Schizosaccharomyces pombe: one gene and its partners. The protein of the gene in region 3 interacts with the protein of the main gene of each other region in a biochemical or structural test. Each region holds a gene or a part of one and is shown on either strand. Other genes may lie near its edges.

Region 1 (5,600 bases), 4.5 Mb from region 3:
CATGAAATTGCTACTTCTGTGCAATCAATAGTAAAAATGGCAGAAGATGGTACAATCACTCCAGAAGATATAGATGAAGATATATTTGAAAAAAACCTATTGATAAAAGATAGTCTTCCTTTAGACTTGTTGATTCGCACTAGCGGTGTGGAGCGTCTATCTGATTTTATGTTATGGCAGGTAAGTAAAAATTCTCCTAATTTTCTAGTCAAAGATATTCAACTAATTTTATCAGTGTCACAAAAATACGGAGATAAAATTCATCGATTTCTACTGGCCGGATTTTTCTATCTGGAAGTTTTTCCCAATGTTAATTCAATACCAGTTACAAAACCAACCAGCATAATTTATTCAATCCTTCGTTACTTATTTACTTTTGATAGGCTTTGGCTGTTAATTTTACATTGTATACATTTAATATGTGTTAGTAGCTGATGTAAATAGTTAGACACTACTCTAATTATGTCTTCTTAAATATTGTTAAAATGAAACTTTCTACGGTCTTGATCCGGAAAAATTAATAACTTCCAAATATGCTTGATCATCACGCTGCACTGCAGCCACACAACGCATAGCATCAAAATCGACATGCCATATTTTTGTGAGGTCTGTTAATAGAAAACGTAACAGCTTTCCAGTCCTAACATCCCATAACTTTACAGAACCATCATTACCACTAATAATTTTGTGTTCATCTGACACAAAGCTACTAATGTAGCCTGAATTAGACGGCAAAACCATTAATGGTTTCCCAGTATTCAAATCCCATATTCTAATTGTGGAGTCAGCAGAACCTGATATCAACCTATTCTGGAATACATTAAGAAGCGTAACAAAGGCATCATGGCCTTCAAGCACATATTTACAAGTCCCTGTCGATAAATCCCAAACCCTAATGGACTTATCCATGCTACCGCTTATGCAAATATTCCTTTCTGGTTCATATAAAACACTATATATACGAAGACTATGACCCCGCAGATGGTAAAGACATTCCCCTGTTGAAACTCTCCAAATGCGAATTGAAGAATCATAACTCCCACTCACAAGTATATCACCATAGCCGGATATAGTTCGTACAGAGTCTGTATGTCCTATCAAAGTATGTACAAAATACGGGTTCTTCTCCCAACGGTCAATAGAGTTTGTATTATCTGGAAGATAAGGAGGATCCGTGTTTTTTGGAAGCTTCCAAACCCGAAGTGTATGATCCCGAGAGCCGCTGACAATGTACGGTTGATCTGGTTCAACAATTTCAACTCCATGGCGAATAAGACGACTCGGAACTAAGATCTCTAAGCATCTGATGATGGAAATATGTCCCCTAAATATGTGCGTACATTTAGCTTTCTCTATGTTCCAAACGCGAACAGTTTTATCGATCGAACCAGATACAAGTGTATTCTCATGTATTTTGACAGCCCAAACACCTTCTTTATGACCCTCTAATCGAGCTTCTAAAACACCGGTAATAGCATTATGAATTTGAATTGTTCCAGATCCCGAAGTGGTGATTATTCTGTCTTTATGAAGTAGTAAAGAAGTTATCATAAAGTTTGGAACATGAATGGGAAAAGATAGATGACTTGGAGGTATCGAAGGAAATAACCATCGTTTTCTATTGAGAAAATGTCTTTTGAAAATTTCCGGAAAATAGTCATCTGAGATTTGGTCGTTGTGCAAAAAAGGTGGACGATTTAAGTTTGGATTAGCATATTTCCAGTCATTTTCATTGATTTGAAAGCCAAATAAACTAAACATGTGTTTCCAGTATGAAGTATGCACATCAAGTATTCTATTCCAAGTAGGCGAAACAAGACGGCAAGAAAGAAAAGAATGTATATCCAGATTTAATAATATAGACTGAACAATGGAAAAAGGAAGATTTGAAAGTATATCTTTTTTTAGAAGCGGCTCGCATTCATTCAATAATAAACGCATCGATTGCCGATTGCACGAACGGAGTAGTTGAAAAAACGCATAAGATTGAATTCCTTCTGGAAGATCCTCAAAAGTTTGAACAATTGACTGTAAGTTTAAATCTTCAAGATCCTCAGAGATAGGTTTACTACCAGGTGAAACAGTGTTTGATGTGTCGACTTTCGGAGAAGGAGGGAAATTGTCGGAGTTAGATGAAATGCTATTATCTAACTTAATTCGATTGTTTCTATCAATTGATATAATTTTAGGTGGAAGAGAAGAATGAGAATATAGAAAATTCCTTTGAGGAACAAGGGAAATGGAAAAATCGCCAGGAACACTATCTGGCGGTGAGTGGTCTAAGCATTTATAAGAGACATTCTCTATACTTTCATTAAACTTTCGAAGAAAAGAAGGCGTACAAGAATGCTTTAATGGGTACTGATACGAATCAGTGCACGGCAGGGAAGAACTCGTATTGCCATTACAACTATTTGATTCTGAGCGAGGATCCGATGCAATTTGATCATCTTGAGGAAGCAGGTTATCCCCATGAATAAGTGAAGAAGGAAATACTTGAGGATCAAATGATTCTGGAGGTGTAGCAGGGCTGCTGCTATTTATTAAAGGAACAGAGGAATTTATACGGGAGGACGAATTGTCAGTTGGACACCTAGAGAGTGACATGCGTAGATGCAATGATTGTGATTTTTCGTTGAAATAAATAAGAAGTCAAAAATGAGCTTTAAGGAAAACAGTCGATAAAACAATCTGAAAATAAATTGGAAAAGAGACCAATGAAAAAGTTACTGACAGATTGGAAAGAAGAAACAACACCGTTATGGTTTGTTTCTACAGATTAATCAAAAACTGGCATATGCCGAAATTAGATACAGATTAAAAAGTGCGGGCATAAAGAGAAAATGAATAATGGAAAGGTTTTTTTATAAGTAATCTTTTAATTGAAAAAATAACAGAAGCTCAATATGCGTTGTTCATACCATACAGAATCTTTGTGTGTGGTAGGAGGCAAGTTCTGGCGGAGAATTTGTAAACAAAAGTTCGTACAATGCGAATGCAAAACTTGTAATAAAAAGATACATGAATTGATACTTTTTAAGTAAATAAATATAAAGCGGTACCTAAAACAGGAAACATGGATTAAGAAAATTGAGTAGAAGTTATATGATACAGATTAGCGTAAGCAGCGTTTTCAAACAAAATATATGCATTTTTTATTTTTCTGAGCTAGAATTTGATGTTCGTTGATAAATAAAATAAGTTTTATGGAAGTTAATACGAAAACTGATTGTAAATCCCATTGCTGGTATATTGTTAGCAAAAAAAACCATAATGGCCTAAGTATCAGTTTCATAAATTCAAAAACAACTAAAAATTTGGGTTCGAATGAAAAACATACTTGATTTACGTCTGCTACGGAAGCTATACTCATCTTGTAATTCCACGCCTCTCATACAGCTACCGAAAATTGCTACTACTTTTTGACCTGAACATAAACCGTGTTTTAAAAAGTTTGGTTTTTATTAATGTTTTTTTTATCTTTTTTGTTTTCTCACATTATTTGAATAATTAATGAAATGGATTCTCACACAACAGAAAAGCGTAGAGGTTCTTACCTGCGCGTCCTGTTTAAGAATGGACGTTTACCAGTAGAAGGATTTCTTTGGAACTGTGATCCCTTGACTGGAACATTAATTTTGATTCAACCTCTTACTCCCAATACAGACGAGGTTGAAGATACTCATTATCGTTTTTATGGTATAATGTCGGATGCTATTCAGACCATTGAACCCGACGAAAGTATGTCTCCTCTTAATCAACAATCGCTAGCAGAATATGATTCTCTATTAACTTCATGATGCGAATTGCATTCAGCGTTTGAAATATATGATTTGAATCTACAATTCTGATGGATAATTCGCTTCTTTTGCGAGGGAAATGTTTTCCTTCCTTTATCGTAAATTAACTATATAAAATATTGTTATACTGAATTGACTTCGACGAATCACTTCAACGCCTTTTTTGCAACCTGAGCGGAGCGGAGTGATATCATCGGACTACAGTAACTGGTATATAGTTGCTACATTCTTTACTTCTCCCAATACCAACATCGTTCTCTTCAAAATGGCTTTTAACTACTCAATTGCCAATACCGTTGATGATGCTGCTCAAAGCATTGCTGAAAATACGAGTTCTTTAGCCACGTTTTCAAAACCGCCTTTGGTCATTGCTCATAGAGGGTATGTTTTATGAATGTATTAGTTGCATACTGCTTTTATTATTAGTAGACTTAGTTTCATATCTGCAACTTTGTACCCTTAATTGTCAAAATCCTTCTCCAATTTAGCAAATGTTTAACTTATGTTTACAGATACAAAGCTAAGTATCCTGAAAATACTATACTAGCATTTCAACAAGCCGTAAAGGCTGGTGCTGACTGCGTTGAAACAGATGTTCGACTAACTAAAGATGAAGTGGTTTGCATTTTGCATGATAGAAATCTTAACAGAGTATTCGGTGTTGATGTTGATGTTCGAGATCTTGATTATGAATTGGATAATGGTCATTTTCGTACCATTCAAGAGCCTCACGAGCCGTTACCTACCTATGAACAATTTTTGCATGAATTAACCAAGCATCCTGGCGTCAATCTACTTGTTGACATTAAGCCAGTAAACGATTTGTTAATTATTCCCAGAATGGTTGATGCAATGCTTCGGGTTAATTCTGATTTAGACTTTTGGAAAGACAAAGTATCGTTTTGTTTATGGTCACATAGGTTCATCCCTGCTTGTGATCGATATGCCCCATCAATTCCGTTATATCATATTGGATTCAACTTCGCTTATGCTGAAAGACATTTTGTTATGCATCCCAGAGTAAAGGGTGTCAGTATGGCTGTTGCTCTGTTTTTACTTCCTCATTCTCAGGATTTTGTTGATCTCGTTCATGCCCAAGGTAAACAAGTCTTTGCATGGACTTTAAACACACCTTCTTCTATCTATCTTGCTTTAATTAGAGGCTGTGACGGACTTTTATCTGATGATCCGGTGATGGCTAGAGCTCTTTCCCAAGGCCCAATTGTTACCAAATCTTGGCATTATTTCCATTATTCCGAGTGGCTTCATATGATTTATGGTTTCTTACGAGCACAATTTGTCTTCTTTTTATTGAGAACCTTTGTGTTGTAAGTATGTTATTCTAAATATGGAAAATACATATATTATGATTGATGAATACTAGAATTCCGGTTTTAGTGATTGAGCATTTTTGTTGCTCTTCCATTTGTTTAAATCCCATCTCCCAATTTTTTCTTATTTGCTTGAGAGTTTACGCTCTATCTTTTTGTATTATTGCAATCGCTCACTAAAGATTTTTGTCATTAGGACAGCCACGTTGAAGCAGAAAAAAGAGAAATTCGCAAACATACGTGGCATTTCAATTGATAAAAAAGTTTTTTTCTATCGTTTTTTTCGTTTCAAAAATATACTTATTTACAATAAATAACATAACTTGGCAAGGCATTATGCCGTCCTAAATAATTTGCATTTAGTACGGAACAAGCGTATTCTGCAGTAGTAGTTTAATCATTGATACTCTTATTATCTTATGAAAACTAATATTTAAGAACTAGTTAACACTTTTAATAGTTTGAGTCA
Region 2 (5,706 bases), on a different chromosome or scaffold from region 3:
AAATTTGAAAAACCTACTATTGCCAAAAGTTTAAACAATTTAATTCAGTGTCACGGTTAACAACTAATAATCTCACCTTCTCATTTCTACCTACAGAAAAGAATTATTTTCTTTCATTCATACTTATAAATTCATCTTTTCACTAACATGTTTAGGGTATGTGCATAGACCGTGTATATCTAAGGAGAACGCAACCACAGTAAACTAAGTCCTGCTAGTCACAGGTTTAAGTATTATAAAGTATTGGAAAGCGCCAGCATTTTAATTACTAATTTTGTTGTATTATTTTCCTTATTTATTAGATACTATGAGGAAAGAGTATCTCGTTAGCCATATAGAAGAAAATGCACATCAAGCAGACATTTACTCTCTCAATGTAGTCGCAGGCAATCTTTGGTCGGCTTCTGGGGATTCCAAAATAAAAAAATGGTCTATAGGTGATGCTGAGCATAGCTTAGTTGAAGAAATAGATACCCCTCATAAACTTGGCGTTCATCATCTAGCAACTAGCTTGGATGAAAACGTCGTCGTTTCTTGCGGATTTGGACAGGATGTTTATGTTTGGAATCCTGAAACTAATGAATTTCGAGACTTGGGTACGAATTACTTTACGAAGAAGCTATGCATTTCTCTAACGAATATGATTTAGGTAATAATGCTCAACATCCCAGCGAATGCTGGTCTTCTTGCATTAGCCCTGATGGACAAACGATTGCTTTCACATCTGTAGACGGGCGTATTGCTGTCTGGGACAATCCAAGTGATTGCAAAATTTCCGAGTTAGATACCAAAGGTAAATTCGGTCTTTGTATAGACTATTCTCCCAATGGAAGATTTATCGTTTCTGGTCATCAAACTGGGCAGCTTTTCCTTATAAGTACAGAAACAGGACGCTTGTTTCATGTACTATCGGGCCACACTTCCCCTGTACGATCAGTGGCGTTCTCTCCTGGTTCAACACTTTTAGCTGCTGCCGGGGATTCTAAAATGATTACTATCTACGACGTTTTATCAGGGGATCAAGTCGGCCAACTTCGTGGTCATGCTGCATGGATTTTTGCAGTAGCTTTCAATCCCGTAGGTGATTTGTTGCTTTCGGCTGATGTTGAAGGAAAAATCAAAATCTGGGATATTGACACCATGGAATGTATTAGTACACAAAGTGAAACGGATGGAGCTATTTGGGCTGTGGCATGGTATAAAAATGGGTTCATCGTCGCAGGTGCTGATAAAAGTATTCGTTGGTATAGAGCTGCTGCTACAGAATAATTGCACTCTTGTGCTTTCTTAATGACCGATGGAAAAGTTTTTAAAAAATAGCAAAAAATTAAGGAGTTTCTAATATTTGGATTAATTATGAATATCAACACTTTACTCGTAAAACGAAAGGATCTTGAAATGGATTATTTTAGGGTAACGCATTTTTCTTTTCACTTTCATCATTACAAGTATGTTTGTATCATTGTTTACTTTCGTTCGATACGCTTTTACTTTTTATATAAATTATCTAAGCATAAATTCCTAAGGAAATACGAATCTCATTCAAAGTTTCCATTGTATTTAAAACATGAGTTGACTCATAATATCTATAAAAGTTTATTTTTTATTTTATAGGTAATGGTTAGCTTAGTTTCTTATGTGTTTTAACTGTATTACATTACGTGCCTAGAAAGTTTACTCTCACATACGATAACGACGCAAACCGTTTAAAACCATGCACATACTGCATATGTTATAATCTTTACTTTGAAGACTTTTTGTAATTCAAGATTACTTTTTGTTGATAAATTTTCACACTAATGGCAGAAAATAATAAAAAGTCTACTGCTTACATCCAGAGGATGCGAACACTAAAATTTTATCAAAAAATGGCTTCTGCGCGAATCCCGATCACTGTGTACCTCCACGATCAACGAGAAGTAAAAGCAGAATTTGGAGCGATAGACAGTAGTGAGTCAAAGTTGGCAGTTTCCAATCTACAAACCGATTGGGGCGTTATTAACAGAGCGGTGATACGAACAGGAGACGTCGTGGGCATCGAATACAATTTGGTGCAGGAAGAAGGAGAACTTTGATGATACATTACGATTTTCAGATACAGAAGCCTTAACAGCCATGGTATTCAATTCAGTGTTTACAGATGAGAAAGCGTGATGTACATAGTATGCATAGTTGTATAGAAGCGCAACATAATTAATGTTATTTATTTAGGAGGAATATTAAAAATAATATCGTAATATTGTATATTTTGCTGGATTAAAGCAAATAACTTTTGCGTCAAACGGATGGTAAATCGTGAAGTTCATTAAACTTCCAAAGGATCAGAAGAATTAGTGTGCCACTGAAATTAAAAGCGGGAAGAAATGATCGCTTACACTGCAAATTTGTTCCAGTATTTTTTTAAAGGACACTCTCGATATCGTTTTCGAGATGTTCAGGCTTGCTAATACTGGAATAGCGTTCGATGACTTGACCTTGACGATTGACCAAGAACTTTTCAAAATTCCACTTAATACGCTCAAGGCCAAGTTGCTTCTTTTGGCTCTTCAAGAATTGATAAACAGGGTCGACGTTGTCGCCATTAACATTGATCTTGGCCAGTACAGGGAAGGTTACGCCATAGTTCTTTTGGCAAAATTGAGCGATTTCTTCGTCAGAACCGGGTTCTTGGTTTCCAAATTGATTGCAAGGGAATCCAAGGATGATAAATCCTCTATCCTTGTATTTCTGATACAACGCCTCAAGACCTTTGTATTGAGGAGTGAATCCACATTTGCTCGCTGTATTGACAACAAGGACCACTTTACCCTTCAAGTTGCTGAAAGGAAAAGGATTTCCATCCTTGTCCTTAGGAGCCAAGTCGTAGAAATGAGACATTTTAACTTACAAAACTCAATACTAATAGAATGAGTAGGTTGAAAGTAAGGTGTAGCGCGGCTGACCGTCCTACTTATGTTTCCAGCTGACCTTATTTCATAATGACATCAGACCTTAGTTTGGGTCAACACGATCTTTTAACAAGAGAAATTTACGTAAAATTAATAAAAATTCCAAGGAAGAAAAGTCGGATCGCATTTATCAAAAGAAATCTTATTTATTTAATCAGTCTCACATTCTTTTTCCTTTGTTTGCTGCTTTTAAAGTTAAAAAAAGGATATGTCGCAGTATACTGCCATTGTCTTTTGTCAACATACCACCAAAATGACAGAAATTTTTGCTGCTATTTAGTAAAAATATTTCAAATTTCGTATTTGTAAAGGTTATGCATAGAATGGCTGAGACTCATACTTAAACAGTATAGGTATCTAAACATTGTATGGGGCGATTGTAGCAGCAAACGATTAAGTAGTTTGCGTTAGTTACAACACCTAGTAATGGTTTGCTACCTTTTGTTTAAAATAATAGTAGACGAGATTGCCAATGGCCGATGTTGTTTATCTTAAAGTTGAAAGTGAAGCGAAACCTTTTTCTAACTTTAAGAGTGGGATTTCTTCCATCCAAAAGAATATGCACTGCAACAAGATATAGGACACAGGCAAATTATTTGACAAAAACAAGGAACCGTATAACTACTTTTTTACTTTAATCTACAAATAAATTAGTAGGATGTAGAAAAAGGTATCAGTGATAGATTATTTATGTATTATCTTAAAAGTATTGTTTTTTGCCCTTTGAAGGGCAAAAAGCAAAAAGGATCAAAATTATGCTCCAGCAGTGACTTGAACACTGGGCCTCTTGCTTACTAGGCAAGCGCTCTACCACTGAGCTACAAGAGCTAGTTGGAATCATTTGCTAAAAGGTATATATATATGCATAACTATTAAGAAATGCTCAGTATTTTTTTGAAATAGAAAATGTTGATATTCGGTTTCTATTATTAAGTTTTAAATTCCAAACATTGTAAATATGTCGTCGTTCTTTACATTCTTTTTTTAATAAATCTTGGTTTAAGTTAAAACCCAATTTTACAAGCTCGCAACTTTGTTGTTAATAAAAAAAAATGTTACACCTGCTAAATAAATATTAAAATCAAACTGTTGTTGTGTGGTATTACCTTATTGAGCTTAATTATAATTTCAGTAAAAATTTATGTTCAATTTTTTTTTTTACTTTCAATTAATTTATTTATTTATTAATTTGTAAAATATTTAGACCTTTGCCAAATAATTATTTGTTAATTTTTCATTTTCTACAATCTGTATTAATTAAGATAAAATTGTCTTCAAAAATACTTTTAGTTTTTGGAAAATCATTTGTTTCAGTGTTTGAGTATCCACATGAATTGTCTAATTTTATATCACTATTATTTTTTTATTCGAACACTCATAAATTGTGTCTATTGTGTTACTTTCAATTTTAATATTTACATTCAAAGTTGCATATATTTTTTACGAAATAATGTACTAAATGATTTAGAAATATTTAGATACGATAGTAATCAATACTAAATTTTATGACACATTCTAAATTCACTTACTTTGGCTTTCTAATTTCCTGTTAGAAAAATTGTCATTCCTAATTGAATTTTGCAGCAATGCTCGAATCAGCTCCAAGGTTGATAAATTTATAGTCAAGAAATATGTAATTATTTATAATAATCTAGTCTAGTTGACCTGGAAAATGTTTGCTTTTCTTACTACCAACCTTCTCTTATCGACCTACAGTTCACCCAAGCACAGCGAAATACCTCAAGATACCCTTCTTTTGAAAACCACCTATTTCAGCAAAAAATCTTTCGCGGTTGTACTTTTAAGTAAGAAGCAAACATCAAAGATTGTTTGCTCCTTCATTGTTTAATCATGGGCAGAGAAATCATTACGTTACAAGCTGGTCAATGTGGTAATCAAAGTATGTTCACCTATACTACTATTAATCAAATCGAAATTCTAATTACTCACAAACTTGTCTAGTTGGTTCACAATTCTGGCAACAGTTGTGTTTGGAACATGGCATTGGGCCTGATGGCACGCTAGAAAGTTTCGCAACTGAGGGTGTTGATCGAAAAGACGTTTTTTTCTACCAGGTTGGTTTATTGATACACTTTAAAGTTTCAACATGTTAACTCATTTTAGTCTGATGATACTAGATACATTCCTAGAGCCATTTTGATTGATCTGGAACCAAGAGTATGTTATCGCATCCTTTTATTAGTATTTGCTGAAATATTCAAGTGACTAATGTCCTCTTTACCTTAGGTGGTCAACAATATTCTAAGCGACACCTACGGCAGCCTTTATAATCCCGAAAATATACTTATTACCAAAAATGGAGGAGGTGCTGGCAATAATTGGGCTAATGGTTATTCGCATGCTGAGAGGATTTTTGAAGATATAATGGACATGATAGATCGTGAAGCTGATGGAAGTGATTCTCTAGAGGGTTTCTCGCTTTTACATTCTATCGCTGGTGGAACGGGTTCTGGGCTGGGCTCTTTCTTGCTTGAGAGATTAAACGATCGTTATCCCAAGAAGATTATCCAAACTTATTCAGTATTCCCTAATAGTCAATCCGTATCAGATGTTGTGGTTCAGCCTTACAACAGTCTTCTTGCATTGAAGCGACTGACATTGAATGCTGATTCTGTTGTTGTGTTGGACAATGCAGCACTTGCTCATATTGCTGCTGATCGGTTACATACTCAGAACCCTACGTTTCATCAACAAAACCAATTGGTAATTGATTTATATTAGGTCTTTTCATCAACTA
Region 3 (6,352 bases):
TAAAGGAGCTATTTTCGCTTAGTTTAATGATACCATTATTGTAAAGAAGTATAATATCATGACTACACTCACAAATGTTGAATCACTTTAGTAAATTATGGAACTAGTAGAATATTGAAGGGAATGTATATTGCTTCGACAATATCTATTAGGGCAATCGGAAATTAGTCTGGGTATGTTTACTCATGCCAGAGAAATATTTTCCATAATCTTAACTGATTTTGAATCAGGATTATAAAAGACAGTATTCGACAAAATTGATATAGAAATCGCATGCTATCAAAAAGTGCAAAGTAGCAACGTACCAAAAACCTTTTCATTCTCGGAGGTAATCGGTATACGTCGCAGGCACGTATTATACGAACAACAAAAGAAAAGCATGAAAAAATGTTGAAACAAAACCGCCTAGCGTGACTTTTATAATAAGTCAACAAATAATGCTAATTACGAGGAATATTCCTAAAAGCAAGTTACATTGTGTAATATGCGTGAAGTAGGGAATAATCAATCTGCTGCAGACACAGCCTCCTTATGATCATCCGCAACATCTTTGTTAGAATTTACGATATCGGTTTCACTTGAAGAATTTTCCTCCTCGGCTTTATGAGGGAAAAAGTGTTCTTTCCATCTGAACCCAGCTGCAAGGGATCCGTTGGTGGAATCATCTTCCTTAGAATTTTCATTCGCATCTTTGTCATATCCATCAGATCCATTTAACTTTACTTGATGAAAATTAGGTGGGACAATAACTTTCTTATTGTTATCGCCACTACGCCATCCTGGGCCATGATTTTCGGCATACTCAGGAGGAGCGCAGGGTCCGTCGTTAGCGGCAACTCTATCTGCAATCTTCTTATACCATGCTGATTTATCGTTTTCTTGCAATAAGGCAACTATACAAACAGTCATGTTGTCACAACCAAGGCCGGTAGTTTCGGTGTCACTGGCTATGCAGTTATCCATTAAATTTTCAGCAATCTTCTCAAGAGAGGTTCCAGCAACTATGCCACGTCTAACAAACTCGATCACTTGCTGCGAAGTCTTGCAATCCCAAATACCATCACAAGCGAGTACGACGAATTCATCATCGTCAGTAATCTCATGTACAACAACATCCGGTAAGGCAGTAACTATTTGTTTTTCTGGTTCTAAATTACTGTTTTTGAACTCAAAATCACCGATAGCTCTTGACAAAGCCAAATTTCCATTTACACGGCCAAAGTCTACAAAGCCACCAGCCGCACAAATACGGGCTTTTTCGGCTTCATTTGAAGGCTTATGGTCTGCTGATAGAGGTTTTGCAATTCCCTTACTGCCAAGGACAGTTCTTGAGTCACCGGCATTAGCCTACACAATTAGTAAGACTAAACAACTTCCAAGACTTACACAATAAAGTTTATTTCCAACACGAAGAACAACAGTGGCCGTGCAACCTGATGGATCCGTATGAAATTGATCATCTGTCAAAATAGTTAGCAAAATGCAATGTAGTGAAATGACAAATTTTTTTTCTGAAACCAAACTAAATGTAACAACTTTTCAACATCAAGAGGTAAACATTTCTATTATCTTGGTAACAATTTTTCTAAGCATTAACTAGACAAAAGAACAAAAAATCTATAAAAATTTCAAACACAAAATTCATCAATTTTTTGGCGACTTTAAAATGGTTATGATATCAATGAAAACAACTTTATCATTGTTAACAACAAACTTACCATCCAAAATAGCTTTATCAGCATTTAAAAATGAAGATTTCAAAGCATTAACAAAATCGCCTTTCTGAAAATCAGGATTCTTTTCAAGAATCTGAGGAAGATTGCTTCCACACCATTTCGCGACTTTGTCTCCACCGTGGCCGTCATAAACCGCAAAAAAGTCGACCGGGTCTTTTACTGCAGAGCACTCCATTGAAAGTATAGCAGAATGAGCATCTTCCATTGAGATACGCCATCCTTGCATGCTTGAAAGTCCATAAAGGACGAACTCATTGCTCCCGTTCACCGAGTGCTTCTCGGTGACTGGCTCTGATAATGTCTGACCCATTGACAGCTCTTGCTAATAGATGACACAAATTTTCACGTTTTCTTTTTGTGTCGCTTCAAAACGGGTTATGTAGTAGTGATAGGTAAATCGCTAGTAGGTGGTGGAGCTTGTCGGAGGGAGTGTTGTGGCACCCTCTACAACTACATCACCACCGTGGAGACGAACGATAGTTGTTAAAAGACTATGGAAGGTAACAAGATTAGCAGTAGTCAAGGCATATATGTAAACAACAGAATAAATGGTATCAAGGACTAAATACTTATAAATTTCAAATGTTCATTAAAAAACATGTGTAAACATAGCATATCCTATAAATTGATTTTTCAATGGTTTGCATTTTACTATGACTACAATAGAGACAAAAACAACGCTGAGTAGAATGCCCCAACAAATTCAGCAACTTGATTCAGAAAAAATTTCTATTAGGCAAAAATGATATTATTTTGATTCAATTAAAAATTCCATTGGATTTAATAAATGACCAAATAAATTCTACTTATTAGAAAGAAAATTGAAATAGAACTATTTGATAGGAGTAATAAATCTTAGCAATAGCAAGTAGGATAACAGTTTTATAACAACATCAACAATGAAGATATACATAACTTTGAAAAATAGCACAAGAAGCTAATCTTTACGTTGCTCACTTTTAGCAAGTCCTTCAGCTAAACCTGTATAGTAGCCCGCATAGTACCAGCTCATGATAAGCTTTTTGTAAGTCTCGTCTAAATCATTATGTTAATAATAGAGAGTCATAAATTTTCTTAGAAGACCTTTTACTTACCATATGTTAACCCTCTTATAGGGGGAGGAACTTCCATAAACTCTTGATGTGTCTCTGCTGCCCTTGTTTCAGGCTTTTCGTCGCTAAGGCCTTTATTATCTGCAAACTGTTGGATATGTGTATCTCCTTCCAATGTCGTCTCTGTTTGCTGATTTATCATCTGCTCACCTTCTTCTAGCTTACTTATTGATTCTTCTGTCCGTGCAGCTGAAATTAATTTTTCACCATCTAGCCTAGAATCCGGGTCCGATACTCCTCCCTTTGCTTCAATACTATGATACTTTTTGAATTCATGTAAAGCGGTTTCAAAGGCATTTCTGAGCTCTGAATCATCCCACACTTCTTTTTGGCTCTGGTCCATTTTTGGTACAAGTTGTAGATAATCTATTCCTGTATGTCTTTCTTTGTACCTTAAGAAAGCTTTATTAACAAGTAGTTTCCAACTTTGTTAACTCTTATATTAATTGAATATTATTAAAGTGAAAATATTGTTTATAAAGCACAACGCGTATAACGATAAACAGTTTGAGCTCGGCGATTCCGCTTACTACAACAATTATAATCTGCTGTGGTAACTTAGCTCCTTGCCTTAACTATCAGCCGCCTTAGTGGACAGGACTACAAGAATTCGAGGTCAAAGATATAACGAGGTTCGCACATGGCGATGTGAACTCGTGGAAGTATTGTGAAAGAATGTTTATTCCAATTCATCTTTGTTTACGATTTTGGCTTTATTATACCAAAAAGAAAAAGGAATTGTATAAGCTACAAAAATCAACCTAAATCAGTTATCTAATATCCACACGAATAATTCATTAAATGCTACATGCGCTAATATGGTTTAGCGAGGACTTCTCAGTAAGTTAGCTTTCTGGGATAGATTTTAAACTACCTAATTGAATTTAAGGTAGCTCCACGTAATTACGTTACATATTTTTATGCATCGTCATCTTAATTTACGTTAAGTACATATCGCATTCTGAAAGACCATGCGAATGGGTATTGGATGAGTATCGTTCTACTATCCCTCCTCTACATACATTCATATTTTAAAGATTTTCGTTCATGAAAAACTATCATAACATATTTCAATAGTGTATCTTTTGATAATTTCCTTTTTCCGTTACTTTTTACATGCATATAATACTTGGATAGATCAGATTTTTCTTGTTCTCGATTTTCTGAAACGATCGTTCATTCATTCCTCGATAATTTGACGAAAGGACCCTTAAGTTTGCTACTTTGCAATAATGGCTTTCAATGGATATGGTATTTTCGACAGTGATCCTAGAAAAAGTAAGTATACCTATCCTTCCCTCATTTGTAACAAAATTGCTAACGTTGTTTGAATCTTCGATCTGCGGGTGTTAATTCCTACAGATTCGAGATTCATCGCTGAAAACAGATCCATCGAGCGATTTAAGAACTCAATTTTGGCTCGCCTTTTTACTTGGAGCCTCTGCATGCGTATTCTTTTGCTTCTTTCGTAAAAGATGGAAAGTACTATATGCCCCTAGAACTACCATTGAAGGTCTCAATTTACCTACACTTTCTTCATCGTACTACAAATGGTTAATGGATTTAGTAAACATCCCTGATGATGTAGTGCAAAATTGTGCTGGTTTGGACGGCTACGTTTTTTTATTGTTTTTTAAAATGGGTATAAAATTCCTTTCTTTTGCTTCCCTGCTTGGCGTTTTGATTATTATGCCCGTCAATAAGCATTTTCGTGGAGATGCATTCGGGAATATTACTTTGTCGATGCCTGCCAAATCTGAATATTTCTTCTCAAGTCCACTTGTCAAGAAGTCAATTGTACAATCTCCTATTATTGCTAATGGTAGTGAGTTAAATGTTGGTGTGTTAGGACCTTCTTTATTTAATCCAATTGGTAATTTATCTGATATACCAGGTCTTCCACAGCCTGGTGATGGATTTCTCTATCTTTACGTTCTTTTTACTTACTTTATTTCCATTTTTCTTCTTTATGTTCTTTTTTCCTCAACAAAATCGATTGCTGACATTCGTCAATCATATCTGGCTCGTCAAAATAGATTGACGGACAGAACCGTTTTTATATCTGGTTTACCTAATGAACTTTGTTCAACGGAAAATTTAAAAGCATATTTTGATAAATTAGATGTGGGTTCTATAGACAGTTTAAGTATATGCCGAAATTACTCATACATGGATATATTACTGTCTAAAAAAAGTAAATACGTCAAGAAATTAGAAAAATATTGGTCTATCTATTTAAGTAACTGCAAAAAGCTTGGAATTTCCACTTTACCTCCTTCGAATTATCTTAGTCCAAACAGAGCAGAACTTGAATCAACACCAGAACAACTTTTGGAGGTTCCTTGGCAACATCATCAATGCCATCCGTTAATAAAAACTCATTTTTTTGGTATTTTTGGTCAAAAGATTGACGCAATCGATTTTTATTCGGCTAAGCTTTATAAAATAAGCCAACAGATTGAAAATGCTCGTTCTTTTGATTATCCTACCACAGGTCAGGCGTTTATAACGTTTGAATCTATGGCGACTGCGCAAATTGTAGCCCAAACTCATATTGACAGCAAATCATTGATGGGTTTGCATATTGAACTGGCACCTGCAGCAAATGATATTCAGTGGCATAATACCTATATCGGTAGATGGCATAAGTTTTTTCAAGGTTGGTTCATAACTCTCGTTACATTTATGATAATCTTGCTATGGACTGTTCCTGTGGGAGCCATTGCCGTATTTATTAACTTAGATACAATTCGAAGACTCTGGCCGGAACTTGGTCGTATGATTGAAGATCTCCCTTTTTTAAATTCTTTGTTGCGCACTTTCCTTCCAACGTTGGTTTATTCACTATTCATCAGCATTTCACCATTTCTTTTTCGATGGTTATCGTCTATGCAAGGCCTGAGCTCTCGCGCTGAAGAGGAAATTTACGCTGTTGGTAAGAATTATGCTTATCTCTTTGTAAACTTTTTTCTAGTCTATGTTATTGCTGGTTCAACTTCAATTTGGGAGTTAGCAAAAGATACCACCAGTTTTGCGCATTTCCTTGCCAACAGGTTACCACATCAAGCTCAATTTTTTATCGATTTAATAGTTTTGCAAGGTATTGGAATGTTCCCTTTGAAATTGATACAGCTTGGAAAACTGTCATCATATTTTGTACGTCGATCCTTTGTGCCATATTCTATTGCTTCTAAAAAATTCGAAACGCCCGATTCTTTTAGCGTAGGCATATTTCTGCCCCAGCCCATGTTTATAATGCTTATATGTTTATGCTATAGCATAATTTCTCCTCTTATTTTGGTGTTTGGTTTAATATATTTTATTATAGGGTTTCTGGTATACAAGTACGAGCTCATATATCAAATGGAACATCCACAGCATTCAACTGGTGAATTATGGAGTACCATTTTTCTACGAATGATTTTTGGTTGTGTAATTATGCAATTAACCATGATGGGATTGATGAGTTTACGGAAGGCATACTGGCTCAGCACGGTAATCTTC

The links.
Region 1: the proteins of smn1 (region 3) and gem6 form a complex in vitro, tested with the Schizosaccharomyces pombe proteins (one study listed by BioGRID).
Region 2: the proteins of smn1 (region 3) and gem7 form a complex in vitro, tested with the Schizosaccharomyces pombe proteins (one study listed by BioGRID).

The regions. Positions count from the first base shown.
Region 1 is NC_003424.3:5,352,138-5,357,737, reverse strand, and holds gem6 (SMN complex subunit Gem6), read left to right. Parts: upstream 1-3,424; 5' UTR 3,425-3,518; coding exon 3,519-3,800; downstream 3,801-5,600. Other genes in the region: rer2 (cis-prenyltransferase), read left to right, coding at 1-180, 236-346; F-box/WD repeat protein Pop2, read right to left, coding at 496-2,607; pgc1 (glycerophosphoryl diester phosphodiesterase), read left to right, coding at 4,066-4,181, 4,313-5,132.
Region 2 is NC_003423.3:2,786,671-2,792,376, forward strand, and holds gem7 (protein Gem7), read left to right. Parts: upstream 1-1,799; coding exon 1,800-2,075; 3' UTR 2,076-2,217; downstream 2,218-5,706. Other genes in the region: rec14 (Ski complex WD repeat subunit Ski8), read left to right, coding at 308-596, 650-1,269; H2O2 scavenger glutathione peroxidase Gpx1, read right to left, coding at 2,401-2,877; gamma-tubulin Gtb1, read left to right, coding at 4,800-4,848, 4,911-5,023, 5,073-5,126, 5,196-5,672.
Region 3 is NC_003424.3:819,659-826,010, forward strand, and holds smn1 (SMN complex subunit Smn1/Gem1), read right to left. Parts: upstream 3,297-6,352; 5' UTR 3,192-3,296; coding exon 2,831-3,191; exon of another isoform or gene 2,772-2,830; coding exon 2,674-2,771; 3' UTR 2,434-2,673; downstream 1-2,433. Other genes in the region: protein phosphatase PP2C catalytic subunit Ptc3, read right to left, coding at 505-1,347, 1,387-1,460, 1,719-2,046; SPOM_SPAC2G11.09 (Ca(2+) transporter), read left to right, coding at 4,081-4,126, 4,236-6,352. UniProt on the Schizosaccharomyces pombe protein: The SMN complex catalyzes the assembly of small nuclear ribonucleoproteins (snRNPs), the building blocks of the spliceosome, and thereby plays an important role in the splicing of cellular pre-mRNAs.